Notamacropus eugenii: one gene and its partners. The protein of the gene in region 1 binds, or shares a complex with, the protein of each later gene. Links are inferred from orthologs where the notes say so. Each region holds a gene or a part of one and is shown in the gene's direction. Other genes may lie near its edges.

Region 1 (7,925 bases):
AAGGTGGGGAGTGGGCAGCTCATCACTGCCATCTTCTCCATCAGAATCCTTGTGTTTGAACAAAGCACTTTCTTCACACTCCTTAATGTTGTTACTTCCTGTCCAGATTGTACCCATTTTACACAGGAGGTGACTGAGACTACTAGAGGCTCAGTCTTCATCTCTCTTGATGCTCCCCAGAGATCTGTCAGGTGCTCTGCTCCCATTCCAGACATCACAGGAAAACTCAAACTCTGTCATCCCCTTCCCAAATGGCCATCCAAACCCACAGCTCCTCCTCTTCCTCTTTCTCCACTCAATTTCGGTCCTGGAAGAGGTACGTAGCCTGCATCCTTGATCCTGGCCATTTCCCTGCCTTCGATCTCTAGCAGTGCTGGTCTTAGGGGCTGCTTCCCAGACCTTAGCTTTGCCCTCTGGTAGAGAGACCCTATGGTCTTTGAGGGCAGCTAGGCCCTTCAGAGAGTCTGTTGACCCAGCATTGGGGACAGCTGCCCTTCATCGCCCTTGAGTGGTTGGCAGAGTCCCTGTCTTTATCAGTATTTCCCTCTGCCTGGTGTGGGCAGAGAGCCTGGAACTAGAGGCTGGGCACAGAACTGAGTCTACGGAGGGCCCTGAAATGGGTGGACCCAGGCCATGCCCACAGAGGTACCCAATCAGGAGTGGAATTCCATGACAGCTCTTGTTAGGACCACAGAGGAATTATCAGAGAAGAGAAAATGATGTGAAGTTCTTGAGTTTCTGTCACATCTTAAGCTCTGGCAGCTGTCCCCACCCCACCCTCATCCCCATTGTACTGCCAGGCCTCAGTTTCTCCAGCTCTAGGCTGTATATTTTGCTCCTACTATCTGGATTCCCAGGGAGGCTCAGGTTACCCGGAGCTGGGACATATCTTCAAGAAAGGAACCGGTTATGCCTGAGCTCAACTTGATAACAAGGGGAGGGGCCCAGGATCAACTCCCTGCCTGTCTCCCTTAGGTCTGGCTTCTCCCCTTCCCTGCCCCCCACCCAGCTTTTGAAATCTCAGTCCTGAGAAATGCCCCGAGAGGGAAAAGCATTACCTATGGGATGAAAGCATAGGATTCAGAGATGGAAGACATCTCAGAGATCATCCAGCCGAAACCTCTCATTTTACAGATGAGGAAGCTGAGGACAAGGTGACAGAGAAAATGAGAGGCAGAGCACATATTCCAAACCCAGTCCTGGGACTACAAGTTCACACTCTTCCCATTACATTGGCATTCAGAGCCAGTGGGGAAGAAGGTAAATGCAATTCTCACAAGTCATTCTTGGAGGGGGACAGAGGTAGGTATGTGCTGGGTCATTGTAGGAAACACCTAATGGCACTCACAATCTGCCTCCCAGATGGCTCCCATGGATGTTTGGCATAGCAGGGAAAACCTTGGGTCTGGGTTCTGATCTTGTCCGTGTCATGTTTGGACTTACTGCTGGTAGAAACTTGACTGGTGACCCCACCTTTCTGACCTCAGTTTCCCCATCTGTAAAAGTGAGGGGTTTGGGCTAGACTATGCCTGAAGTCTCTACCAGCTCTCACTGCTATCATCCAGATAAGGCGGTGGCTGCTGTGTGGAGGACTTGCAGGAACGGGGAGGCTGGGCCTAGGGAGAAGAGAAGGGCCATTGTTCAGAGGGCCATCTCAGGCAAGGCCTGGGTGGGGCTGGAAAGGGTGGGCACCAGAGCTGGGCTCTGAGGGGGGACAGGACAGCACAGGTCGAGCCAGGGCAGACCAGAATAGAGCTGGTCTCAGTGTCCATGCTTCACAGCTCTCCCTGGAGGGTCTGGCTTTGGCCCTATCTCCTTTCAGCTCCTGAATGTGCCTGGCCCAGGAAGAGTGGGGCAGGCTCAGACAGCTCCCCACAGACAATTGAGAGCAGTGTTGTCCTGAATCAACTCTTCCTGCCCTCCCCTCTGGTGCCCGCCTTGGGAATTTCTCCACTTCCTTCTCTCTAGGGACCTAGGAGTCTGGCCCTCCTATCACGAGGAGTCTGGCAGGCTCACAGCCAGGGACACTGCGCTACCAGTGGGACTTGGAGGAAGTCACTGCTTTTCTCTGGCCTCAGTTTGCTTCTCTGTTTGGTAAGAACAGCAGGTCATCTATGGAAGCTCATATGCTACAGCAGTCTGTAGATGGCATAAGGATGCCTGAGCCCCAAGGTCCCACAGCTTGTGTTGGAAGGCAGCTCCCTCCTTTCTCCTTCCCTCTTTCCATCTTTCCTTCCTCCCTCCTTTTCCCTTCTCCCTTCTTCCCTTCCTGGAAGGAGCAAGCAAAGTAGGATTTTTTTGCTGTTTTTTTGGATTGAGTTGTAGCCAATCAAATGCTTTTGATTGAATCCGGAGTCTTTGGAAACAGCATATAACTAATTCACTCACTTAGTATTGAATTGCTTGGAGGGAGAAGAGAGAGGAGAGAGAGGAACAGACCCGAGAGAGAGAAGCAAGTGGGAGCAGACCAGGGGAACAGAAAGAGTGTTTGCGATGTCCTCACTCCCTCTCTTGATCCGTGTTAATTTCTCAGACAGAAGCCCTGTCCTGTTGGTCTTTATGAGTGAATTGAGCTGAAGAGCTGAGATCTGCCCATGGAAGGAGGCTTAGCTTAAGCCCCTTTTAAGAGCTGTTAAGGTGAATTGAGATGATGGGGTTGGTAATGTGTATAAATATACATTGTCATAGCCTTGTTAAACATTGTTTTCCTAGAAACAGAAGCTGCAGGAAGGAGCCCCTGGAGCCAGCTGTCAGGCAGAAGCAGGAAGAGTTAGGAGTGGAACAGTTCCCATGAGCTGAGGCAAGGAGCAGGAGCAGAGAGCTTCCTATGTGTGAACCCAGGCAAGAGCTGGGAGTGGTCCGTGCCCACAGAGGAGGAGCCACAGGGTTTGGAGGTCAGCCTTCAGTCAAGATGAGAGAGGACTTTACTTGAACACTGTGTATTGATTAAGGACACTGTGACCTGGGGGTGGATGCCTTGGTATTTTCTGTTATCCCTTAAGGGTGAGTCATACTAGGGAAGACCCTAGCCTGGGACCCCCGACTTTGGGGATGCAGCGATATGCTCTGTGTCATGACATACCGACTGTTAGGAGATACATACATACATATATATATAGTAGACGATATGTTTTGTTTAACGACCTTTCTATGCTTTACTCTATTGTGTTAACCTGAAAACTTGGTTAAAGAAAAACATCAGACTAAAGGCATGCGTTATTAATTAATTAATTAATTCCCTCTTAAAGATAACAGTCATAGCACTATGGAGTCAGAGGTGACTCTGACTATCTAGTACAGAAATCATCTGTCTTAAGTACATTTTGCCATGAGAAAGAAACTCTCCTAATTAAGCAAATCATAAATTCAGTAAGACAGGACAATTAACAAAGCAATGTTAGTCAGGCCTTGAGATTCCAAGCTGGGTAAGCATATGTCTCGGTGATAAGGAAAGAAACCCCACCACTAGTAAGTGGGAGGCTTCCTCCCTTAAACAGATAATTGACATAGGAAAGGGTAAACAATGTTCAATAGAAATTACGACCTAAGATGTCTATTTTTTCTTTATCATTAATATGCCATAACATAGTATATGTCTATAGATCAAAGGAAAGTCCCATTATTCATAACATAGTATGTATGTGTCTATAGATCATAAGATTCAAGGAAAGTCCCATTATTCAAGATATAGTGTCTTAGGTTAAAGGTCTCCTTAAGGAATGTAGAGTCGCCTTGGCTGGCTTTTGCTGACATAGGAAAAGGCACTCTCTGAGTTTACTTCAGAGAGAACAAAGAGATTACTCCAAAATTTTATATTAAACATTATCAATTGAACAGTTTACTTCATCGCTGAGTAAATAGTTCACTAAACTATGATTTCACAGCTTAAGTCCTGAGGCGCTGTTGTGACTGATGTTACATCCCCTCCCTCTTTCCATAACCTGGGCTCGGTTCAATGGAATCACCTTCGAGGGGCCTTTGGATCAAGTTCAGTTTGCCCAGAGAGAGGGGAAGGGCTCCCCCCTCTTCCTTCTCTTGGACCCCGCCTCGGGGCAGCGGCCGAAGGCGGTCTCCAGCGGGGCTGGGGTGCCGGAGCCACGATTGCTGGGGGGAGCCCGGGAAGCCGGGGTGCCTCCGGTCCCTCCCCCCCATTTGTGGGCATTGTACTTGTTGAAGTAGATCTGTATGTAAACGCTCGTCTGCGGGGCTGACGGAAGGGGGTGCGGGCCCCCCGACAACCACGCAGTCAGCGCTTGCTGCCTCGGCGAGCACGATCCGGGAAGATGCTGAGCGCTGCTGGACAGAGCGCCTCGTGGCGCCTCCGCGCAACTACCACCTCCTGCCGGGAGGGGCCGCTGTGGATCAGAGTTACCGACCAGGCCCCCCTCCCCCGCCCAGGCAAACCCGGGGGAAGTGACTTGCCCAGGGTCACAGGGCAGGTCTGAGGATGATTCGAATCTGCCTCCAGGCCTCCCGACCATGGGCCTCAATGTCCTCATCTGTCCAGCTCTAGGGTCCCATGACGCTGTCTGGCGTGATACTCCACACCCCTGGTCCCTCACTTCTCCCCAGAAAGGAGAAGCAACAGCCCAGTTCTGACAATGGCTCTTGGAAACGGTGGGGAACTACATTTCCCATGGGGCAGCGGGACCGCTTCTTGGCAACGGCTTGACGTAGGGGCCCGTCTTCTCTTCCCCTGGTTTCGATCCACAACTCCCAGAAGGCTTAGCCACGAACCAGACCCCTTTCCGCATGCGCCTCGCGGATTTCCCCGACTACGCTTCCCGGCGTGCTCCACGAAGCCGCCCTCCCTCTCTGCATTTCTATTGGCTGTTCCCATCCCGTAGGCTCGGCTCCTATTGGTCGCCTCCGGAAGTTCCGGCAGGCCGTAGCTCTTCAGTCCCCTGGGCCGCGCGCCTTCTCGCCGCTAAGATGGCGGCGGAACATCCCGAAGCGCCTAAAGGTGAGCTTCAGCTGCCGCCGCCTCCGCCGCCGCCCCCCCCGCCGCCCCCGCCGCCGGCCCCCTACGGCGCCTGGGCCGCGCCCGAGCTGCAGGCCAAGCTGGCGGAAATTGGAGCCCCCATCCAAGGTGAGCCTTCCGGCGCCGAGGCCCGTGAGCCTCGCGAGGAGGCCTGGGGCCCGCGGGGGAGCTGAGGAGACCTCGGGGCTGGGGGGCGTGGTGGGGAAATCGAGGCGGGGGAGCCCCCATCTCTGGATCGGGGCCCAGGGGAGGTGGGGGGGGAGCTTCGGGGAGAGTTCAGTTAAACGCTTCTGGCGGGCCTCGGCCCAAGCCCGGAGCCCCCTAGTGTCCCGGGTCCGAGGGGGCAGGGGGATGGGCCGTGTGGTGCGTTCGGGGGACCGTCCCCCGAAGAGGCTCATGGGATCGGTGGGCGGAGAGGAGGGGGTCCATGGCCAGGCCCTCTTGCGAGCCCCGGGGTGGGGGGCCGATCCCGGGGAGCCGGGGGTGGAGGGAGAGTCGGCAGGATTGGGGGTATCCCTCCCCCAGGGCTGCGCTCTGGGGTCTGAATGCTCCCGGCCCTGTTTGTGCGGGGAGCGGGACCGGATAAGAAATGGGTGCCGAGTCCTGCGGGAACACCACCGGCCGGGCCTCCTGTACTCCCCACTTGTCCTGGTTCCCGGGGCGAGCGAGAGCGTTATAAGGAGCCCTGGCAGACATCCACAAAGCCGGACACCCGGGCAGAGGGTTCAGAAGAGAGGCAGATTTGGGAAGGAAACCCCTGGATTCAGATCCAACCCGACGGACGCTCACTGGCTGTGTGACCCTGGCCAAGTCACTTAACCTCTGCCTGCCTCAATTTCCTTACCTGCAAAATAGGGATCCTAACAGCACCTACTTGGCAGGGCTGTTGTGAGGACCGGAGCGCCCACTCAGTGCCGGGCACACAGTAGGTTCCCCATATAAGAAAAGCAGGCTCTCAGCACTTAACAAGGATTACTGATAGGAATGTATCCACCTGGAAACCTGCAGATCTAATTCAAAGAACTCCTAAGTCGAAAAGGATGGGGAAGGCCGAACCTGTCCATAGAGAGCCGTGGCCACACCTGGACTTGGCCAGTGATCCAGTCTGTGCCCTCAGATCTCTCTACAGAAACGTCTAATGTTGGCATAGCAAGTAAGATGAGCTGGGTGCTGCAGTGGAGAGACTTACCCGACCTGGAGTCAGGCCTCAGACACCTACAGCTGTGAGCCTGGGCGGTCATTTATCCTTTGTTGGTCTCTGTTTCCTCTTCTGTGAGATGAGAATCCTAATTCCATCTGCCTGCCAGGGTTGTGAGAGGTTTGCAGAACCTTTAAGCATTGTCTGCTTGTGGCTGTTGTTGGCATTGTGGCAGGTTTGACCTCAGCCTTGGTAGGATGGGACCTCATGACTGGCAGTATGGTTCAGAAGAGGCAGGCTAGGCCCAAAGCTAGCAGTGGTGGAGTGGCCTGATTGAGAAGGTAGACTCATGACTGGAAACCGAGAAACCGAGGGATGGGGAAGCCCAGAGTCAGGCAGGATATTGTCCGCAGAGTAGACAGCGCACGGGAGATCCATTTATTTGCATGTATTCTGGAGCATTGTTTTTTTTCTAGGAGCCAAACAGCTATTTGTTGCTTTGTGATAATACTACTCATCTAAAATAGACCAGTTTGTTTCTGGGTCAGATTTTTAGTAACGAGGAGGTTCACCCAATTTTGGGGGGTGGAAGTGATATGCTTGAGAGGAGGTGTCCAGTCCATCTTGGAACATGTATTTGAGATGGCAGGGACAGCCAAGGATGGTCTGCTGGGCACTCTGGGTCTGAGGAGGGCAGATTCTGGCATTGGGCATGCGTGGGAGATGCCACATCTGACAAATGGACTTCTGAGCCCCCAGAGAAGTCTTTTCTATGAGGAGCTGAAAGGGAAGTTGTGGGGTCAGTGGGGCCCTCTTAGAGGGACATCCACTGCCTGATTTAAGACAGTGGAAGCCCCCAGGGGACTGAGAAGAGCCACAGCACAGCAGGCGCCCGAGCTCAAAGCTGTGAGGCTGGTGAAACTCTTAAGTAAAAGTGATGGTGTTGGGGCAGACAGAGCAGTGATGACAGAGGAAGGAGACAGGGTGGATTTTGCTGCATTTGAAAAAAGATGGCCATTTTCCATATTGTAGGAAAAGCAGAAATCTGTTTTCTTAACTATGATACGATCAGAGGGCTTTGGGGCTGTCTGGCCAATCAGAAGCATCATGAAAGGTTCAGTCTCTTGGCACTGGAGCGCCAGGACAGTGATTCGGAGAGCCTAGCGGCTTGCACTTCTAATCACTGCCCAGGATCAAGGCAGAGATGGTGGGTGGTGCCAGTTTACAGGTGAGATTGCTGTAAAGAAGAGCCAGACTATCGAATGATCGTGGCAGGCCAGAGCGTTGGGCCGAATATGACGAGATGAAATTTAGTGGCGATAAATGTAAAATCGTAGCCCTGGATTCAGAAGAGCAGGTGCACCAAAACTGGATGAGGAATACATAAAAAAGGGCCTTGGGGCTTTGATGGGTTAGCTGGACGGTGTGGCAGCCCCAAGAGCCAGTGTGACTGCTGGGTCTTAATGAGAGGGGCAGCCTGCTTGCTGGGCTTTGTCTAGGTCAGGCTAAAGGAGAGGGTGCAAAGGAGGGCAGCCGGGAAGGGGAAGGCCTTCGAGTTCATGCACGTGAAGTCTGTTTGAAGAAGGTGGCCAAGGGGGTCATTGGGAGGAAGGACTGTTAGACTTCTTGACTGACCCCAGAGAGCAGAACCTGGAAGGTTCAAGAAACAAGTTTGGACTTGATGTGGGAGGTGTTGATTTGATTAATTGTTAGTTGATGAATTCTTCCTCATCTAAGGTAGATAAGAACTTACTTGTTGGGGATGTTCACATGGTCCTCTAGGGCTTCACATGTGGCTCTTTGAAT
Region 2 (7,092 bases), on another chromosome or scaffold:
GATACTACAAGAACAACACTTCAGTTAGTGTTTTTTGAGACTAACATGAAACGGTTTTCAGTTAAGGCCAAAGAAAGCCTCTCTTTGCTTACAGAACAATCTTAAGCCTCTTGCTTAATGGAATGGTGGATGACAGGTTTGGGTCAGTTAATTTTCCCCAAAGCAGAAAAAGATGTGATATCTGACCCTGGCTCTTCTACAGAAACAACTTGTTGAAAGGAACCTCTAAGGACAGGAAAGGGTAGGAAAACAACTTAAACTTCTAAGCAGGTTGCAAGGGAGAGCTTTTTTCTACTCCAGAATACAAGATGCAGCTAGCACCAATTATCCAGTAATCACTGTTGGTTAAAACTTTGAGCAACATGCTAGTACCAGGCATTGTGCTGGAAAAGATCTTGTTCTCTTTATACCAACTTCTTACTGAATGCAATTAACGTAGCCTTCCTATTCAGTGTTTCAAGGCTATGTCATATTTTCCTAGTGGTTTGATGAAAAAAATAAATAGTTTGATTTTTTTTACTTCCCCCATTAGTGAACTGCTTTTCTTTTTACATCTGGACAATGATATTTTTACCTGGTTCTCAGTGTGTGAAGAATGTATTTATACAGGTATCAGAAACATCACTTACAGCACATATGGAGGAATTGGTCCATTTACACCTAAACTGAATTGTGACATTTATTGGAGGTGTTCATGCCTTCAGGAAGAGCATTAGAGTAGAAATCAAGAAACCTGGGCATCCGTTTTGTGGCATAGACCTGTGCCCTCCTGTGACAGGGGACTGGACTAGCTGGCGATCCTTAAGGTCTTGTTGAGAGATGCCAACTCTGACATTCTCTGAAGTATCTGATCATTAGAATTACTTTGGTTTCAGATAACCAAGATAAATTCCAGTTCTAGTGAAAACACATTTCCTCCCATAAGACTTCATTTCTCTAGGCCTCAAACTCTTCAAATAGAATGAGGGGTTCAAACTAAATTCCAAGATCCTTTCAATTGTAACAGTCTGTTAATCTTAAGGCTGTGTTGAGGCAAGTTTATATTTAAGATGTTCTGTCTGTTGGCTTCCCCTTGCTTCTGGAATCAGAGGGAATTTGAGGTATTTCCATAGTGAACAAGGAAGAGATTGCCAGAGAAAGGATTTGTTGAGGGACTCTTTAGTGTCAGATTATTTGTGTACCCAGCAATGCTGGGCCTACAGGGGACGCCTGATGAATGCTTGTGACTGGGGATAGACCTCTAGGAATATGGCTTTTAGAAAGAATTGTACACTAATAGACCTTAGAGCTTGCCTAGGAAAACTGGGAACCAGAAAGATAAAATAAAAGTTCTCCAAAACTACTAACTACTGGAAATTATTTTGATTAGATACATTTTATCATGTTAAGGAAGAACCTCTCAACACCTATTCTAAATTTTTGTTCTTATTATTAGATGGATGAACATTTTGTATTTTTGTCAAACTAATAAATCCGTGAGGGAGAATTTATGAGGAAACTTGGACAAAAAGAACAAAAAGATGTGAGGGATAATGATCTTTATGTATAATATATAACTCATTAAAATCACAACTATCAAGGTGTTAAGAGTGGATAAATAATTTTATCTTTATAAAAACACCTCATTTTTATAGAATAATGGCAACATGGAATAATGGGTAAAGTGATAATCCGCTGACTGACAGTATTCAAAAAAGAACAGGCCAAATGAAAATTAACTTGGTACAAGTAGATTCAAAGTCTTACATGCGGGTTCAGAATATATCAAGTATAAAGTAGGGAAGGTGTAGTTCCATTGTCTATTCTGTTTAGATCATATCTGATGTATTTTGTATAATTTTGGGTGTTGCTATTTAGGAAAGGGATTGATAAGTTGGAAGATGTTTAGAGGAGGGCCAGCAGGACTATGAAGGGTTTTGAGCTCATGCCATACAATAGCTAGTATTTATACAATGTTTTAAGGTTTGCAAAATAGTTTGCCTTCTCTTTCTCATTTTCTCAACATGGGAGGGTAGGTAGTATTCCTCTGGTTTTACAAAGAAGGAAACTGAAGGGTTATACAACCCTGTCTGAGGCAGGATTCAGACCTGAATCTTCTTGATTCCAAGTCTTAATGTATTAACGTCCTGGAACAAAGGATGTTTAGCTTGGAGCAGAGAATGTTTGGGGCACATGAGAGCTGTCTTCAAGTATCTGAGAGCTGTAATATGGAAGAAGGATTAGATTTGTTCTCCTTGGCCCCAGAAAGAAGGTATTTTTCCCTCTTAATTATATAATTCTCCTGCCTCATTATTGTGATGTCCATGCAGGTGAAGTCCAAGAGGCTTCATGTTTGTCTTAAGATCATCCTAGCTAAATTCAGAGGCTTATCACCATATTGACCATTTTATAAGTGTAGTCAGCACTCGAGCAACTTCACTGGTCCTCAGTTTCCTCATCTGTGAAATGGTGGTTTAGATGCAGTGGGTGGAAGTTGCAGAGGAAATTTAAGGTTGATGTCAGGAAAAACTTGCAAATAATTAGAAATGGCCTCCCTCACAAGGTATTGGATGCCCTCTGATTGGAGGCCATTAGATGACTTGTTATGTAGTAGAGAATTCTTTTCAGATTTGTAAAGTTCTACCTACATTTGGGTACGTAAAGTCTTACATAGGTACAAAGAGTTGACTTCAGCAGGTACAAAGGTAAGAAGACTTGTTTAGATGGCAGCTGTTATAAAAAATATCTTTGGGTTTGCAAATCAGCAGTGTATGTAACCAAAAATGTTAATATAACATTGAGCTGCATTAAAATACCAATAATGTTAGTAGCTAGCAATTATATAGTACTTTTAGATCTGCAAGGTCCCTTACATGTTCTCACTTGATACACTCAACAACTCTATAAGGTAAGTGAAATCTCCACTTTACTTTTTATAGCTCTGTGTGGTCACAGAGGGCAGAACCAGGAGCAATGGGTGACAGCTGGCAAAGAGACAAATTTAGGCTCCGTATTGAAGAAAATCTAAGAAATGGAGCTGTCAAAAAAGTGTGAATTTCTCCTCAGATGCAGAGGCTATCGAATCAAGCTGATCACTTTTCTGATAGTGGAGATTCCTTGCATATATGGGTTGGACTAGATGGTTACTTAGATCCCTTTCAACTCAGGTTTTCTGATTCTGTGATTCATTGACTGATTTATTACTCTTTGGGGCATTCTCAGGCGGGATACTTTTAAGGTTCACAAAGTTACCATCCCTGCACATCCCTGGCTTATATCGATACAAGCATGGATTTTCACACCTTGATTACATGATTCTCGGGCCTTCCCCTTGTGATGTGGATGTGGGCCTGACTCCCATGCAGGTATGGCCTAGAGGGTGCATATTTATAATTAGAGGATCTACTTACCTAAATTCAGAGAGGCTCATTACCATCCTGGCCATTTTGTAAGTGTAGACAGCACTCGAGCAACTTCATTGGGCCTCAGTTTCCTTATCTGTAAAATGAGTTGGACTAGAGGCTCTCTAAGCACCCTTCCAGTCCTAGGTCCTTTATGGGCCTATGCAATGTTCAAGGGAAGTATGGAGTGATGCTGAAACGGCACACGCTGGACCTCACTTTTGATCTGCTCCCCTACCTGGATTCGACTCCATGGTACAAGATAACTTACAAGAAAATCCCCAGTCCTGTCCCAACCCCCGCTTCCCTGCCTCCTTTGTGCGTTGTCAACCCCTTGAGATTGTAAGGGCCTTGAGGGCAGGCACTGGCTTTTAATTAATTGTGTCTTTAGCACTTAGTACAGCGCCTGGCTCATAGTAAACTCCCAATACATATTTCTTGGATGGACTGGATTTAACAATGAAATAAAAATAATGTAATATACGAATAAAATAAATAGCAGACACTAGAAACAGAGGGACCTGTGTTTGAGTCCTTTCCACTAACTGCTTATCTGCCTCTGCCTCAGATAAGTCTCTTCTATCTGGGTCTCTGTCTTTCTTCCCCAAAAGACTAGACAGGTTCAGGATCCGCGCTGAAATCCAACAAACTGTTCAATTACCGGGCTAGTTCCCAGCCCCGCCCACCTGTAGCAGTGCGCATGCGCAGCAGGCTTCGGTTGGCTGCCTCAGCACGAGGCGGGGCTGCTCGGTTTGTGATTGGTTTGCCGGAGCCGATGATGCCAGACGTAAGGTGGCGTCAGTGGCGGCAAGGGGAGCGTGAGTGAAGCCGAGGATTGCACGGGGAGGAGGCGAAGGGCCGCAAGTGAAACAAAATGAGTAAAGCGCACCCACCCGAGCTAAAAAAGTGAGTACGGTGACCTGGCAGTTGGAGGGCCCGGGAGTTCAGCTCAGCCTGCACCGGCTAGTGAGGGAGGCCTGAGGAAGCCGATTAGAGGCTTCTGCTTCCCGGCATGCTCCACGTTCCCGGCCTTCTCTCTGCCCCTGGCCACGTGGGGAGGGGGAGGGGCGCGCGCTCGCGCGCTCTCGGCCTCTTGTGTCTCGCGCTCCATTCATTCTCTCCCGAACAGTGGTTATTGAGGGGCCTCAGGTTTGGGAGGCGATGCTGGGTGTGGCGGATGGATGGACGGATGGATGGATGGATGGATGCATAGATAGATGGATCGCAGGGCCCTTCAGACCTTGCATCTACCACGTTAAGATTCCCTCGGGGCTTTTTTGGAGCCTAAAACAAGTGCTTGGTGATTTGAATCGCCGTGTAATCTATTTGAAAGAATGACATTTAAAACCAGATTGAGTTTAGAGGTAATTCCAGCCACTTTATTTGACAGAAGAGTAAACTGAGGCTCGGAGAAGGACAATGACCTGTCAGAGGTGGTTTAAGTGGAGCCAGATTTCCCACCTTCTCCTTGCTCGTTGGTGTTCTCTTTTTACCTCACACGTTTTGGGGGCATGTTCTTTCTTGTAGCTTTTGGAATGAAACGGTGGAAAGATGGCAGAGTTTAAAGTGGAATGAGTACGCAAGACCTAGTCAGATAGGAAGCAGGCACATCGAAACCAATCCCTTCATTTTACAGATGTGAAAACTGAGGACCAGACCCACTTCTACATAGTGCCATGAAGTACTGCTCACTGTTTCTCTTTTTTTTAAATGTCTTGATCATTTGTCTTAACATTGTCTTTATTTCCCTGTATATCCCACTCCCCATCCCACCCAAGGGAGCCATACCTTATAATGAAGAATGAAAAAGAAAAGTGGGGTGGAGGAGAAAAATCAGGTAAAATAAGTCATTAGACATATTAGAAGAACCTGGAGTGGAATATCATGAAAGCCAAGGGTAGGAAAGATATTGAAGAGGAAGTCAACACTTAAATAGAGGCTTGATCTAGCGGGGCATGCCCCCCAAAAAATGGTTTTGGGAAGTAGGGTACCATTCGTGAACTTTGAGAAAGCCATTTTTGTTAAGTATTTAGGTATGAAAACCAGATTGCATGTGGTTGAGTCAAATTTTAGGCCTTAGAAGTATCCCTTACTTTAAGGACTCAACTATTTCCATCTCCTTTATGAAGCTTTTCTCAGTTCTCCTCAGCTTTCCCCATCTCAATTTTCCTTGTACTGTACATAATGTCTTATTCCGTTGTAGCTAGGTGATGAAGTAGAGGGAACCTTTAACTTGGAGACAGGAAGCCCCAGGTTAAAATCCAACCTTTGTGACCCTGGACAAATCACTTAACCTCTGTCTGCCTCAGTTTCCTCAACTGTAAAACGGGGATCAATAAAAGCATCTGCCTTACAAGGTTGTTTTAAGGATCAGATTAGATATTTGTGAAGCACTTAGTACATTGCCCTGTACACAGTAGGTGGCCTATGTAAATACCTATTTCCTTTTCCCCCGAAAGTTTCTTGAGGACTAGAATCTTTTGTGTATAGTAGATGCTTAATAAATGTTTTAGTGAATTTAGAAAGAATGATACCTGAAGGGAGTAGAAAGATTTAGGAAAGATTTTGTTATTTCAAGATTGGAAACACCTGAGTAGATTTATAGTTAGAGAGGAAGAAGCCTGTAGAAAGAGGTGGTAGTAATATAAGTGCCTTGAAAGCTATTGAACTGGGAGGCAGGTACCCAGTCTTCTGTGTAACTTGGACAAATCACTTTATCTCTGAGCCTATTTCCTCATCTGTAAAATAAAAATATTAGAGTAGATAATCTCTAAAATTAATTTCCAGCTCCAAATGTTAAGAGTCAACAAACTTGTAATAAGTAACCTATTATGTATACATAGTATATTAGAGTTACAGAGACAAAATTGACAGTCTCTGCCCTCTAGGAACTTAGTCTACTAGTAGATACAATGTTAAATAAGTTAAAAACCAATAATTTGAGGAGGAAAAGAGCATTAACAACTGGAGGAATCAGGAAAAGCTTGGTGGAGAAGAGAGCAACTGAGTTGGGTTGAAAGGAAGATGAGAGTTCTGACAGGCAAAGATGAGGCCCTGCATGAGGATGAGGGGCTAGCAAGGGATGACTTGTATGATTGTGTAGAAATGGGATGTAGAATAATAGATGCAGAGAATAATGGGGCATTAGCCAGAAAGTAGAGCACATAAAGGGAAATAATACAAAATGCATTTGAAAAGGTAGGCTATTGACAGCTATAAATTTGCTTGCTCAAGAGTTTGTATTCTAGAGTTAGCAGGGAAATGCTTTTTGAACTGGAGTAAGTCATGTGAAATGCTGAAAGAGCTGGGAGGGGAGAGCATCAAGGACACTTATTCCAAGGGCTTATATATCACCTTGGGGGGAAAGGGAGACTAAGATAGAAAGACTTACTGTAGATAAGTTTTGAGATGTGGAAAGAAAGGGACAACACAAACTTGCATTTATATGATGCTGTAAATTTTGCAAAGCACTTTCATGGGAAAAGGCTCAAAGAGGGCAGATGATAGTTAATGTGCTGGATGAAAACTGGACAGCAGAGAGATCTTGTCAGACTAAAACATGGGGCAGAATCCAATAAGATGAAGTTCTGTAGGGATAGTTATAGTCTTACACTTATAAAGTTAGGGGAGGAGAAGGTTTGAGCTCAAGGCCAGGATAGGGAGAAATGGTTACAGTATCTGGGTTTTTTTAGTGGACTGCAAACTCTTTGGG
Region 3 (7,585 bases), on another chromosome or scaffold:
ATGGAGGAAATCCATAATCTTTCCAAAATCACTGAAAGTAGCTCAATCGCATCACCAGTCAGTTCTGTCACCACCCTGGGATGGAGGTCATTTGGCTCTAGTGACTTGAGACAATCAAGGGCAGCTAAGTGCTTTCTTATTATCTCCTCACTGATCTTGGGCTCTGATTTCCTAATAATGATTTTCCCCTTGTCCCTTCCAGTCCAGAGATCATTATCCTTGGCAGAAAAAATGGAGGCAAAGTAAGACTTTACAACTCAGCCTTCTCTGCACTGCTTCTTGTCATCATTCCATCTAGCCCCAAGCAGAGAATTCCACTTTGATACCTCCTTGGAGCTTCCTTCCAGTGTAACCTTGGGCAATAATAGTATTGATAATAATAACTAGCATTTATATAGCCCTGGTTCACACAGCTAGTGAGTGTCTGAGGCAAGATTTGAACTCAGGTCTTCCTGAAAAGAAGTGACCACCTCCCTATCTCAGTATCCCCATATGTAAAAATGAAATGGTTAAAGTTGGATGGTTTTGCAGTCCCTTCCAGTTCTTGTATTCTATGATTCCATCAGGATAACAGCCAGGATAAAAAGATGACACATTAGGCACATGAAGGATCCTGACCTACATGGTGACCCTTGTGTGCTAAGGCTAATGAATCTTAGACTAGTCTCTGGACTCAAGTTCTATGTTAGTAGTAGGATTAAATAATATTTAAGGTCCCTTCCAGCCTGCAATGAGGAATCTATTGGGATCATAGATGGATTATAGAGGACCCTGGTGTGAGGAGACTCAGACCCTTGGGTTCTAGAGCTAAGTGACCTTGGAGAGGAAAAAAAGATCCTAGTATCTTTGGGACTTAGAATTCCTGTGCCTCTCCCCACTCTTCACCCTTCTGTGAGTATAAAGCTGGTTCCTATCTGTTTGTATCATATAGCACTGGTCTCTAGAGTCAAAAGATCTAGGGTTGAAACCAGGCACTCCAACTCACAACCTGGCTCTGTTTCCTCATCTATAAAATATGACAGGGAAGGGGAAGGGGACTAGTGACCTCTAAGGTCCCTCACAGCACCAAGATCCTGGGACCTGGGGGGAGGGGGAGAAGAAGAGACTGTGGGACTCTCTCTAGGACTGTTGGCTGGTCTGACCACAAGGAACCAATATCAATACTTCAAGGGTTAATTATTTCATGAGTGTGGCTATTCCCTTGACATCTTAGTAGAGTTGCTATGACCAAAAATCTCATTGTCTTGCAGCTAAACACAGGATAAGCCTTTGCTAACTTGGCCAAGCCAGTCCATCCCAAGACTTTCCAGCTTGTTGATTATCCCTTGATCTTTTTACCTGGGAGGCAAGATGGAGTTCAGGATCTCTTCAGCCTGCTTGGTGGGGTCTGAGGCAGCAGAAGTAGAAGGGATAGCCTTGCTCTTGGGTGGCTGTGGAACTGGCCCTGTAGCCAATGGCTGCTGTGGGCTGACCTTCAGGGGACGGGCCTAGAAAAGAGGTGACAGAGAAGTTCAGTGAGCTGGTCCTCAGAACTGGCCTTGGGGCAGCCATGGCCCTAGTTCTTTTCCTGTATCCTTTCATTTCCTTCTTCCCACTTTATTTCTCCCTTTCTACCCTCCTATCTTCCTCTGCTATCTCTTCTCATGATATCCCTCTTCTCCTCCTTCCCTCTCCCATGCATCTACCCTCACCTTTTCTTTCCTTCCTCTCTCCTCATCCTACCATCATCTTTTTTCCTTTGTCTATATCCATGTCTGTGGTCCCTCCTTTTGTCCAATTTTCTCCCACCCTCCTTACTTCCTTTTCATTTTTTCCTCTTCCATCCCTCCCACATTCTCTTCCTTCCTCTTTGCTCCTCCCTCCTATAGTACCTTTCCTCTCTTTGCTTCTCCCACTGTCTTTTTTCCTCTTAATCTTCTTCCCTTCCCTCACTCCTCCCAACCACATCTTCCTTTCTCCTTCCCATTCCTCTTCTTGCTTCTCCCATCCTTTCTCTCCTCCTGTTTTACTCTTTCTACTTTCACCTCCTTTTCACTCCTCCCATTATTTCTTTCACTCTCCCTCTCCTCTCTCCTTCCACTTTCATCTTCCTCTTTCTTTCCCTGTTCCCTTCCACACTCTCATCACTTCTCCTCCCGCCCTCCCTCCCTGCAGTCCCCATTTCCAGGCCCTGGATTCTACCTTGGGGCTCCGCTTCTCTGTGTTCCGGCTCACTAACACCGGGGTATCATACTTGAGCAGAGAATCAACTGGAGGAATCATGGTGGCTGCTGCAGCAGTGGCTCCGCAGCCTTGTTTACTGTCACCATGGAAACCGAGGCCCCACCCCCTGTCCCTACCACTCGAGCCCAGCAGCTTGAACCTAGTGGTGGAGGCGGAGCTAGCAGTGGGGCGTGGCCATCGGAGAGCTGTGGGATTGGCTGGCGCCCCACCAGCTCTAAGGTCTTAGCTCAGGTCTGCTGAAAAGAATGCTGGCCTAGGCCCTCCCCAGGAGCCATCAGATGGAACTTCATTTCTGTCACTTGGTTAGCTGTGTGGCCGTGGGCAGGTGATTCTGGGGCACAGAGGATGCTTCTAAGAAAAGTACCCTGTAGAATTTACGAGTGCTATAGAAGTGAGAGCTCTCAATTACCACAGTCTCCTTTACGTTATTCGGCAGGCATTCTTAACTCTGGGTCTGTGAACTTGTTTATTGAACATTTTGATAACTGCATTTCAGTATAATTGCTTTTCTTTATACGCCTGTGTGTTTCATTTCAGGTGGCTGGTGGTACGATGCATAGAGTTAGAAAGACTTGAGTTCCAATCCGTCTCTGACGCTTACTGGCTGTGTGATCTTGGACAAGCCATGTGACTTGTCTGGCCTCAGTTTCTTCATCTGTAAAATGGGGATATTAATTACCTCCCAGGATGGTGGTGAAGAGCAAATGAGATACTTGTAAAACAAATTTGTTAACCTTAAAATGCCATATAAATGCACTATTAATACTTTAAAACATAGACTTTACTTTGTTAAAGGAGTCCTACACACACACACACACACAAATTAAGAACCTCTCTAAGTATCTTCTCCTGTCCTGTTGGAGGCCAAGGCAGGGGACAGAGACCTGGGTTTGAAATTTGCCTAAGACACTTGCTGGTCCACCCTGGACAAGTCACTTCTTATTCATTTACAAATGAAAACTGGTTTTTTTTTCTGTTGCTCTTTTGGAGTTTAATTTGACATGAAATTTCATTTATTTCACATACACACACACACATAAAACCATATATTCCAATGGTTCAGACAGACAACCCTTCCGCAACTTCTGCAGACTTCGAGAGCTGCCTGGGGCACTGAGAGGACTTGCCCAGCGTCCTACCTCCGTTATGTGTGACATTCCATCTTCCCGACCCAAACAAAGGCTGGCCCTTTATTCCACCTGGCTGCTTCTCCCCTTATGACCACCAGAGCTCTTCATCTTCCTTCAGCACTGAACTTCGCAGGACTCAGCCCCCAGTCAGCGCTTAATAAGTGCTCGGGCAATAAAGGAACGAGTCCGGGGCCACGCCTCACCCACGGGAGCCTGTGCCCTCCCTCCATGCCTTCCCCCTGCAGCCTGCTTCTCGTTTACCACTGACAGAAGCGCTGCCATTTCTTGTCATTTGTGGTGCAGCCAAAGTTCCCACGGAGAGACCCTCGGGTGGATTTCTCTGATGTCATGGTCTTCTTCCAAAACGAAGGACGAACCCTGACAGGGTGGATGCTGGCAAGTGAAGACAAAGGTCCCTCCGGGGAGAGAAGGGAGCTTTACCCTGGACGTCCTAGGAAGCAGGCACGGCTTGTTTCGCGGCTCCAGGCAGGACAGTCTAAAAGACCGGAGGTCAGAGGACTGACCGCCCCTGAGGGTGCGAGGCCCCGGTCACGGGTGGGACTCCGTGGTGCCCAAGCCTCCTTCCTCCCTCCTCTCCTCTCTCCTCCCTGGTGTTCACTGAGCACCAGTAGCAGAAGCAGGCCCCGGTGCACACCGGCCTAAAGAAAGGCAAATAAAAGCCTTGGTCCTCTGAGCGCGCTCTGTAGGGGGCAGACCCCGACCCTGCTCGCTCCCTGTCTCCTCGGCCTCTATTCTGACGCCGTCGCCTCCCTTTCCCCAGCAATACGGGGGCGCCACTCTGAACAAGGGCACGTGGGTTCGAATCCTGACTCCTCCGCTCGGAGCCGCGCGACCGTGAGCTGTGACCCGGAATCCGTCCTCCGACCTTACGGGCCGTCACCTTTGCCAGCCCGTTTCCTCCTGTGGAACGTGGGGCGGTGACAGCGCCCGCCTGGGGAGGGTCCGACGAGGGTCTTTGGGGGGTCCGCATCAATCGCGGCTGTTGCAGCCCCGGGGAGAGGTCGAGTGGGCGTGGTGAGGGAGAGGAGGGGGCGGGGACAGGCCAACGGAACTTTTTGTTGGATGGGTGGTTGTTTTGGGGGTGAGGCTTCCCCAGACTTCTCTCGCCTCTTTCGAGAGCGCGATTTTCAGCAGCGCCCGCCAGGGGGTGCGATCACAACGTGACCGCCAGCGGCCCGACTTCCGTTTGGCTGCCGGAAGAAGAATCGAAGCTGCCCCGGAAACGGAAGCGCGGGGTACGCGCTCGGGCCGTCGCTGAGGAGCCCACTGGCCCGGGCCGCGAGGATGAAGGAGGCGAAGCCCGAGCGGGAGCGGAGGCAGCGGAGGCGGCGCCGGCGGCGGCCGGAGGCCGAGGACGAGCCGGCGGCAGCGGCGGGGGACGACGTGCTGGTGCCGGATCTGTCGCTGGTGAAGCAGGAGCGGCGCAGCCCGACCCCCGCGTCCCGCTCGCACCGGCCACGGGCCCGGGCCCGGCGCGGCTCCTCGGGAAGTCCGAGCCCGGCGCCGGACGAGGAGGCGCCGCTGCCGCCCCCGGCCCCGCGAGCCCGCGGCGCTCGTGCCTCCGGCGACCGCGCCGGCAGCTGCAGCAGGTACGAGCCCAGCGCCCCGTCCCCCGGAGGGACGCTGGGTGGTGGCGGCGGTGCCTCCCGCCGCGGGGGTGGGGGTGGGGGATAGGGCCCAGCCCCCTGCTGACTCTGCTTCGTGATCCCCAGAGGCTCTTCCTCGTCGAGCCCCCAGCCAGTCCTGCCTCTTGTAGCAAGTCTTCCCTTAGCCCCTTTCCCAGCTGCGCACACACTCGGGTCCTTTGTAGGACCCTTCCTGCGCCCCTGCTGCCCGTCTGGTAGCTGTGGTGTTGTAGGGACCTGGGTTCTAATCCTCGCCCCGCCATTTACTAGCCTTGGCTGAGGCGAATTCTTTTTCTGGCTCTCGGTTTTCGCATTTGTAAAATAAAAATCCGAGTGCTTGCATCGGTTCTGTTTTTGTCGCTCAGTTGCGTTGGAAGCTTCGTGACTTCCTTGGCGGAGACGCTGGAGGGGTTTTCCTTTTCCTTCTCCAACTCTGCCGATGAGGACACCACTAGGAAGTGTCCGAGGCCGGAGCTGAACTCCCAGATGAGTCCAACGGGCCTTCTCCCCACTTGGACACCTAGCTGCCACGTTAATTGTTAGAGTTATTTTGTGGGTCAGTGGAGATGACGTTCGTAAAGGACTCTCTGGATGTGAGTGATGACTTATAACTGTTCGCTCCCATTATTTTTTGGTCTCAGAATACAGAACTGGACATTGTTGGATTTAATTCAGCGTTTAGGGTTGTTGTGAGGATAGGAATTCGTAGACTGTACAGTATAACTGTAATCTGCTGTTGTTATTCTTACCTTTACCCCCAAGATTTTATACCACTGGTTTTCATCTTTACAGCCCTTTCACTACTAACCTACAGCCTTCACCCCAGTGTTTTGTTAAGATTCTGTGGTTTCCTTGGTATGCGTACCTCTTCTTTTAATACAAGTTGAAGCGTTCCTCCACAATTTAATAGGTGGTTTTTATGAATCGTTGTGGTCAGTCACTTGGCCAGCCTTCTGGTAATGAACCTCTTCAAATTTATCTAGACTGGTCTTCAAGCATCAGACACACAGTCTTATCACCAATGCTGAACTTGAATCCCTTCCAACTAAATACTTTCAGTATAGCCTTCAAAAACTCAGGGCCACGTTCACCCCTGAGGGAAGCATTGGAGATTTCAGTAAAGCAGAGTAATGAGGCTGAGGGGATGGCGTGAGGTAAAGGTTACCAGTAAACTCTTCCTTGAGTTGAGATCTAGTTAAATCCTGAAGGGACCATTCATTTCAGTTAAGTGAAGATGAAGCTATAAAGAAATAAGACACGGTACATGAGGGGATCAGGTTGATAGTGATGAGGGAGGGTCTTAATGAAGAGGTGGCATCTGAGTTGGACCTTGAAGGAAAGAGAGGAAGTTGCAGACAAGTCATAGTCCAGGTATTTAGTCTAACTTAATTTTATAGATGAGGAAATTGAGAGTTCAAGGACTTGCTAATTGCAAAGTATCTTCTGCACCATGAAATCATAGGGGTTTGAGAATTAATTTCATTGCCCTATGTGATTGCTATCTTGCCTCTATCCCACCATTTTTTTGGAGAAGCAGTGTAATATAGTGGGAAAAGCACTGAGTTTAGGATAAGAATATCTTTGTTCAGAGTCCTGGCTCCAGCATTCTGTGACTCTTCTAGGCCGGACCAGCATTGTCTAAGCCCTTTTGAGCTTCAGTTTTATCTGCCAAGTGGGGATAATCATACTATTTGGTTCATGGGGCTGCCACAGAGACAATTTTATAAAATGTATACTGCTGTAGAAATGTGAATTATTCTGATCATACACTAAATGGCAGATCTAAGACAATAATTTGGATCTCCTAATCTGAAGACAGCTTTTGCTACCGTGTGTAGACCTTTTTTCCTTGTGTCCATTTACCAATGCTTGCAAAGTTTTAGTCTTCAACAAACCTATGATAACTCATAGCAGATTAGGCAGGAGATGTCAAAAACTTTTTTCTTTGTGTGAGGGAAATTGGGGTAGAGGTTCAAAGCTTATCCACCAATTCCTATGTGTGTTGTGTTTTCTAAAGATCACCAACCAAAAGGAAAAACAAGTCCTTTGGGAGAAGAAGCAGATCTCCTCGGAGTAAGAGAAGCCGTAGCCCTCACCATTCTGTAGTCAAGGTGAAGCAGGTAATTGCAATTGACACAACTCATTCCCCTAAGTTCTGATCTAAGAATTTCTTCCTACTAGTGTTAGAATATGGACTTTCTTCTTCAATTGGGAAGTGAGCCCCAAGGTTACAGCATTACTTTTATGGACAGAAAAGGGCAGGATATAGACTGGTTTTCACTAAAAGAACTAGTTACTTGAAGAGCTTAGAACATAAATACATATACTATCATCTTTAAGGTTCAGAGCAAGAGTTGGGAGACCCTGGCCATTGCTTGTATTCCATGGCAGGTATTCCATGATGTGCTGTTGGTTCTACTTCTTGGAGAATAAATTATCTTTGGGCAGCTGGTTGTATCTTTCCCTGAGTGGAGCCACTGTCTACATGCTGTAACTCTCTGTCATCTAATTCTTAAATGCACCTCTCATTTCATGAACAGCTTATTACTGTTAGTCTTTGAGGCTTTCAGAAGGTAACTTTAAAAA
Region 4 (6,377 bases), on another chromosome or scaffold:
TGAAACACATCAGACTGGGGAAGGTCTTCCTCTACTGTCTTCTGTCCCTAACCCACAGGTTCCACTAGCAAAATATGATAGACACCTACTCCCACCTTTGTCCATTTAAGTCCTATGATTCTCCCTAATTGAGAAACATCCCCCTGCACACCAAAAACAATATGACATTTAAGGCTTCAAGGTTTCACTGGCACCCCAGTGAGAAGGGATAAATGCATTAGTCTTTACTATGCCTATTTCACAGATGAGGAAACTGAGGTAAGAATGGTGAAATGACTTGACCAAGGTTATTTAGACAGTCAATGGCTTAGGGTGGATTTCAACTTAGGTCTTCCAGAGGAAATTCTTCCCGGACATTTTTCCTTCCCTAACCCATACCTTCTGCATCCAAGAAATGATGCCCTTCTATTCCCACCTTTGTCCATTAAAATTCCATGATGCTGCCTATTTGAGAAACACTATCCTGCACAGGACACAGGATAGTATATTTAATCCTTCAGAGTTTTACTGGGAAGCCTGTGAGTTAGGACAAATGCACTATTCTTCACTGTGCCCATTTTACAGATGAGGAAACTGAGGTAAGAATGGTGAAATGACTTGACCAGGGTCACTGAGCTACTGAGTGTCTGAGGCTGGATTTGAACTCACGTCTTCCAGAGGAAATTCACCCTGGACTTTTTTCTGTCCCTAAGCTACAGCTTTGGCACCCAAGAAATGATACCCATTTATTTCCACCTTTGTCCATTAAAATCCCATGAGTCTCCCTAATTGAGAAATATCCCCCTGCAGACCAAAAATAATATGACATTTAAGGCTTCAAGGTTTCACTGGCACCCCAGTGAGAAAAGAGAAATGCATTAGTCTTTACTATGCCCATTTCACAGATGAGAAAACTGAGGCAAAGAGGCCGAAATGACTTGCCCAGGGCTACGAAGGTAGTAAGTGACTTAGGGTGGATTTGAACTCGGATCTTCCACAGGAAATTTTTCTAGAACTCTTTTCTGTCCCTTACCCACAGCTTCTGCACCCAAGAAATGATATCCTTCTCTTCCCACATTTTCCATTAAAATCCCATGATTCTCCCAGATTGAGAAACACCACCCTGCATGTCACAAATAATATTACACTTAATGGTTCAACATTTCACTGCAATCCCATGAGATACAGTAAATGCATGGGCCTTGACCATGCCCATTTTAGAGATGAGGAAACTGAAGTAAGGAGGGTAAAATGACATGTGAAGGATTATTTAGCTACTCAGTGTCTGAGGCTGGATTTGAACTCAAATCCTTCTAAGGAAGTTCTTTCTCTACTGTCTCCTGCCCCTAACATACGGCTTCTACTCTCAACAAGTGAATTACTCTTTACTGGGCCCATTTTATAGATGACGAAACTGAGGCAAAGAGGGTGAAATGACTTGACCAGGGTCATTTAGCTACTGAGTTTCTGAGGCTGGATTTGAAATCATGTCTTCCAGAGGAAATTCACCCTGGACTTTTTTCTGTCCCTAACCTATAGCTTTGGCACCCGAGAAATGATGCCCTTCTAATCCCCTCCTTTGTTCAATAAAATCCCATGACTCTCCCTAATTGAGAATCATCCCCTTGCAGACCAAAAATCATATGACATTTAAGGCTTCAAGGTTTCACTGGCATCCCAGTGAGAAAGGATAAATGCATTAGTCTTTAGTAGGCCGTGTTACAGATGAGGAAAGTGAGGTAAGAATGGTGAAATGACTTGACCAGGGTCCTTTAGCTAGTGAGTGTCTGAGACTGGATTTGACCTCAGGATACAAGTAATATTATACTCAATGCCTCAACGTTTTACTGGCAACCCTGTTAGATAAGTCAAATCCATTGGTCATCACTGTGCTCATTTTAGAGTTGAGGAAACTGAGGCAAGGAGGGTAAAATGACATGCCCAGGGTTATTAGGCTAATCAGTGTGTGAGGCTGGATTGCAACTCAAATCTTTCTGAGGAAGTTCTTCCCCTACTCTCTTCTGTCCATGACCAACAGCATCGACTGAAAAAAAATGATACCCACCTATTCCCACCCTTGTCCATTAAAATCCCATGACTCTATCTAATTGACAAACATTCTCCTGCAGAGCAGAAAAAATATCACATTTAAAGCTTCAATGTTTCACTGGAACCTCAGTGAGATAGGATACATACTTTACATACATTCTTTACTATGTCCATTTTATGGATGAGGAAACTGAGGCAAAGAGGGTGAAATGACTTGCCCAGGGTTATTTAGCATGTTACTGTCTGAGGGTGGATTGGAACTCGGGCCTTTCTGAGGAAGATCTTGCTGTACTGTCTTCTGTCTATATTCCACAACTTCTACTCTGAACCAATGATATCCATTCATGCCCACCATTGTCTATTAAAATCCCATGACTCTCCCTAATTGAGTAACATCCTCCTGCAGACCGGTAAGAACACTACATTTAAAGCTTCACGGTTTCATTGGAACCACAGTGAGATAGGCTAAATGCTTTAGTCTTTATTATCCACATTTTACAGATGAACAACCTGAGAGCCTGAGTCATTAGGTCACTTGCCTTCCCTCACTGGAAATGTATGAGAAAGGGTTTGAACCCAAGTCCACTAATTCTATCACTCTTTCCATTATGGTGTCTATCAGTCCATCAATGAGCATTTATAAAGTACCTACTATGTGCTAGGTATTGTGCTGTGTTTTCAAATAAAACAGTTCTTGCTCTGGAAAAGCTCACATTCTGAGAGAAATAGCATGCACATATACAACCCACCCTAGACTCTCACCTATCAACTATATTATATATGAGGCAGTAACAAAAGCTAAAAGGGACAAGGAAAGGCCTGAAATAGAAGATATTTTGGGTAGGATTTGAACCAGTGGTCTTCTAGAATCCAAGTCCAGTACCCTATCCACTACACCATTCCACCCTCTCAATAGACGTTGTAGATTATATGACATCTGTTGTTATTTAACTGTGATCCCTTCTAAGGGTAGGTCTAGTATCTGACTCATCTCTGTATCCCCAGCACCTAGCATTGGCCCCTGTACACAGTAGCTTAATAACCGTCTGCTGAATAAATGGAGTGAATATAGTTTGTGGGAAGTAGATGGATTCTCTCCTTTCCATTTGGCCTTGAACCTCTCTATCTTAATCTCTATTTCTTCTTGCCACTTTCTTTGTATCTTCCCGTGATTTTCCCACTCCCTTCCACAGCCAGCTCAGGAGCTCCTTTGCTATTACTAAGAGCCCTTCAGCTGTCTTCTTTTACTTAAAAAATAATTTACACATTTATATAGATATGAATATTATATATTTACATATCACTTTCATTTCTGAATGTCCCCCAACCTCCACCTCTACCTAGTGAGCTATCCCTTATAAAAGAGAACAGGAGGGAAAGAAGAAGCATATTGGCAAAAACTCACATATCTAAGTCTAACAATAAGTATAGCAAATGCTCCACACTCATAGTGAGGGAGGGGAGATAAAAAGGGGATGAGCATTTATACAATTCCTACTATGTGCCAGGAAAAGTGGCTAAGCTCTTTTAGAAATATTATCTCATTTGATCCTCAATGGCAAGCCTGGGAGGTAGGTGCTACTATTACCTCACTTTTACAAATGCAGAACCAGGGCTAGCAGGGGTGAAGTGACTTGCCCAGGGTCACACAAATAATAAGTATCTGGGATGAGATTTGAATTCAAGTCTTCCTGACTCCATGCCCAGTACTCTATTTATTCACTTCACTGCCTCAGATCCCCTATCTCTGTAAAAAGGGGGTTCTCATTTTCTCAGGCAACCAAGTGTTGCCTCCAACATTCTATTTACATTACAGGAAGGGAAACCAGAGCTTCTCCCTCAGTAAAATGGTATTTTGGCCAGAAACTAAAGAGAATACCCCTTTACTTGGAACAGAAAGGACTTACTTTCTGGCATGTCACCTGTGTGAGGAAGATGGAAAGCTACTAATGGAAAGGGCACTGGATTTAGAATCAGAGGACTTGAGGTTGAATCCTGTAGGCCCTTGGATATGTCACTTCACCTCCCTAGGACTCAGTTTTTTCCTCTGTAAAATGAAGGGGGGAGGGGTTGAATTGGATAGGCCCCTGGGTCCCTTCTAGTTCTAATTCTAGGATCCTATGGGTGACCTGAAAGAAGTCCCTTCCCTTCGCTGGGCCTCAGTTTCTTCCTCTGTAAAATGAGGAGGTTAGACTCGATAGCCCCTAAGGTCTCTTCCAGCTCTAGAGCAAGGACCCTGGCCAATTCCCTTCCCCTCTCTCCTCAGTACGGATTGGCCTCAAGGCCAGCTCGAGATCTCTGGGTCCTTTCTCCAGTCTCGGAGCCGCCCCCGGGCTGAGGAGCCCAAGGAGACCACCTCCGGGTCCCAGCTCAGGTTTGTGGGGCCCTACCTTGCCGCCATTGCTGTACTTTTGAATAAGCGCGGTGGTAATTCCCGGGATCGTCAGACACACGCCCATCACGGCCAGTCCCGGCAGAATTTCGAACCACATCTCGAGAAGAGGCTCGCGGCCACAGACAGTTTAGACACTGTTACGACGCCGGTCGCGAGATAAAGGTGACATGAGTCACTTCCCGTCCCAGCAACCCCCGCGCCGCTCCACCCCGCCAATCAGCGGCGACGACCAATCAGCGCCCGCCGCCGTGCCGTGCCCCGCCCGCTAGTAGCCTCTTCCCGACAGGAAGTGACGCCAAGACAGGAAGTGAATCGTTGGCATCGCGGAACTTCGCAGTTTCAGAAAGATCAAGATGGCCGACGACCTGTCTTCTGAAGCTCCGGCTGTGCCGGTGTGCACCTTCCTTTTCAAGAAGTCGGCCCGGAAAGGCACTGCGAGTCGCCGGAAACGGCCTGCCTTCGAGAAACCGTCGGGGGAAGGTGGCGGCAGCAGCAGCAGCAGCGATGAGGGCAACGTGGTGGTCCGGCGGCAGAAGAAGCGCCTGGTCCCCAACCCCATGATCCAGAAGACGCGCGGCAGCTACCGGGAAAAGAAGGCGCCCACCTCTTACAGCGGCGGCAGCAGCGGCGGCGACGACGAAAGCGAGCCTTCCACCGTGAGTGTCGTCTATAAGTCCACACGCTCGGCCAAGCCCGTGGGCCCCGAGGACATGGGCGCCACTGCCGTCTACGAGCTGGACACAGAGAAGGAGCACGATGCACAAGCCATCTTCGAGCGCAGCCAGAAGATCCAAGAGGAGCGACGGGGCAAAGAGGATGATAAAATCTACCGGGGCATCAACAATTACCAGAAGTACGTGAAACCCAAAGACACTTCCATGGGCAACGCCTCATCCGGCATGGTAAGAAAGGGCCCCATCCGTGCTCCTGAACATCTGCGTGCCACGGTGCGCTGGGATTATCAGCCCGACATCTGCAAAGACTACAAGGAAACCGGTTTCTGCGGCTTCGGAGACAGCTGCAAGTTTCTCCACGACCGCTCTGACTACAAGCACGGCTGGCAGATCGAGCGCGAGCTGGACGAGGGTCGTTATGGGGGCATCGACGAAGACAACTACGAGGTGAGCAGCGATGAGGAGGACCTGCCTTTCAAGTGCTTCATTTGTCGTCAATCTTTCCGGAACCCCGTGGTGACCAAGTGCAAACATTATTTCTGCGAGAGCTGCGCCCTCAGTCACTTCCGCACCTCACAACGCTGCTACGTCTGTGACCAGCAAACCAACGGGGTTTTCAACCCAGCCAAGGACCTCATTGCCAAGCTAGAAAAATTCCAGGCAGAAGGGAAGGCCGTCATCTCCGATCCCTTAGAAAGCTCAGATGAAGGTGCAACCCCCATTACTTAAACCTACCGAATGGTAACAATAAAATCTCTCTCAAAGTTTAACATGAGTGGAAATTTCTGACTCAAGTGTCGCGGGGTTGGGGAGGGGGTGGAGGGACGGATGAGAAACAATGGGGAGGTCTGGATTACCTAGTGCCCATGAGGTACCATACTAAACTGGAATGGGGGAGGGTAGGCATAGGGAGGAGGGAAGACTTGGAATGCTTGGTACCCATTCTGGCTAAACTGGAGTAGTGTGGGAGAGGCTTGGAGTGCCTGGAGCCCATGAGGTACCATACTAAACTGGAATGGGGCATGGGAAGGGGGAGAAATAGGTATAGGGAGGAGGGAAGGCTTGGATTGCTTGGTACCCATTCTTCCTAAAGTGGGATAGGGCAGGGGAGGCTTGGATTGCCTGGTGTCCATGAGGTACCAGACTAAGCTGGAATGGGGGGGGGGGGTAGGCATAGGGAGGAGGGAAGGCTTGGATTGCTTGGTCCCCATTCTGGCTAAACTGGGGTAGTGTGAGGGGGGCTTGGATTGCCTGGTGCCCATGAGGTACCAGACTAAGCT

Evidence for each region.
Region 2: SF3B2 (region 1) and SNRPG share a complex: the UniProt entries of both Homo sapiens proteins name them as parts of the minor spliceosome. The link is inferred for Notamacropus eugenii from reciprocal best matches to the Homo sapiens genes SF3B2 and SNRPG.
Region 3: SF3B2 (region 1) and SNIP1 share a complex: the UniProt entries of both Homo sapiens proteins name them as parts of the minor spliceosome. The link is inferred for Notamacropus eugenii from reciprocal best matches to the Homo sapiens genes SF3B2 and SNIP1.
Region 4: SF3B2 (region 1) and RNF113A share a complex: the UniProt entries of both Homo sapiens proteins name them as parts of the minor spliceosome. The link is inferred for Notamacropus eugenii from reciprocal best matches to the Homo sapiens genes SF3B2 and RNF113A.

The regions. Positions count from the first base shown.
Region 1 is NC_092873.1:18,739,840-18,747,764, forward strand, and holds the start of SF3B2 (splicing factor 3B subunit 2), read left to right. Parts: upstream 1-4,917; 5' UTR 4,918-4,932; coding exon 4,933-5,089; intron 5,090-7,925. UniProt on the Homo sapiens protein: Component of the 17S U2 SnRNP complex of the spliceosome, a large ribonucleoprotein complex that removes introns from transcribed pre-mRNAs.
Region 2 is NC_092872.1:631,381,435-631,388,526, reverse strand, and holds the start of SNRPG (small nuclear ribonucleoprotein G), read left to right. Parts: upstream 1-4,073; 5' UTR 4,074-4,254; coding exon 4,255-4,286; intron 4,287-7,092. UniProt on the Homo sapiens protein: Plays a role in pre-mRNA splicing as a core component of the spliceosomal U1, U2, U4 and U5 small nuclear ribonucleoproteins (snRNPs), the building blocks of the spliceosome.
Region 3 is NC_092876.1:81,740,472-81,748,056, forward strand, and holds the start of SNIP1 (smad nuclear-interacting protein 1), read left to right. Parts: upstream 1-4,577; 5' UTR 4,578-4,658; coding exon 4,659-4,963; intron 4,964-7,016; coding exon 7,017-7,119; intron 7,120-7,585. Other genes in the region: DNALI1 (axonemal dynein light intermediate polypeptide 1), read right to left, coding at 1,339-1,487, 2,182-2,262. UniProt on the Homo sapiens protein: Required for pre-mRNA splicing as component of the spliceosome. As a component of the minor spliceosome, involved in the splicing of U12-type introns in pre-mRNAs. Down-regulates NF-kappa-B signaling by competing with RELA for CREBBP/EP300 binding.
Region 4 is NC_092879.1:43,546,176-43,552,552, reverse strand, and holds RNF113A (E3 ubiquitin-protein ligase RNF113A), read left to right. Parts: upstream 1-4,686; 5' UTR 4,687-4,776; coding exon 4,777-5,826; 3' UTR 5,827-5,867; downstream 5,868-6,377. Other genes in the region: NDUFA1 (NADH dehydrogenase [ubiquinone] 1 alpha subcomplex subunit 1), read right to left, coding at 4,419-4,520. UniProt on the Homo sapiens protein: Required for pre-mRNA splicing as component of the spliceosome. As a component of the minor spliceosome, involved in the splicing of U12-type introns in pre-mRNAs. E3 ubiquitin-protein ligase that catalyzes the transfer of ubiquitin onto target proteins.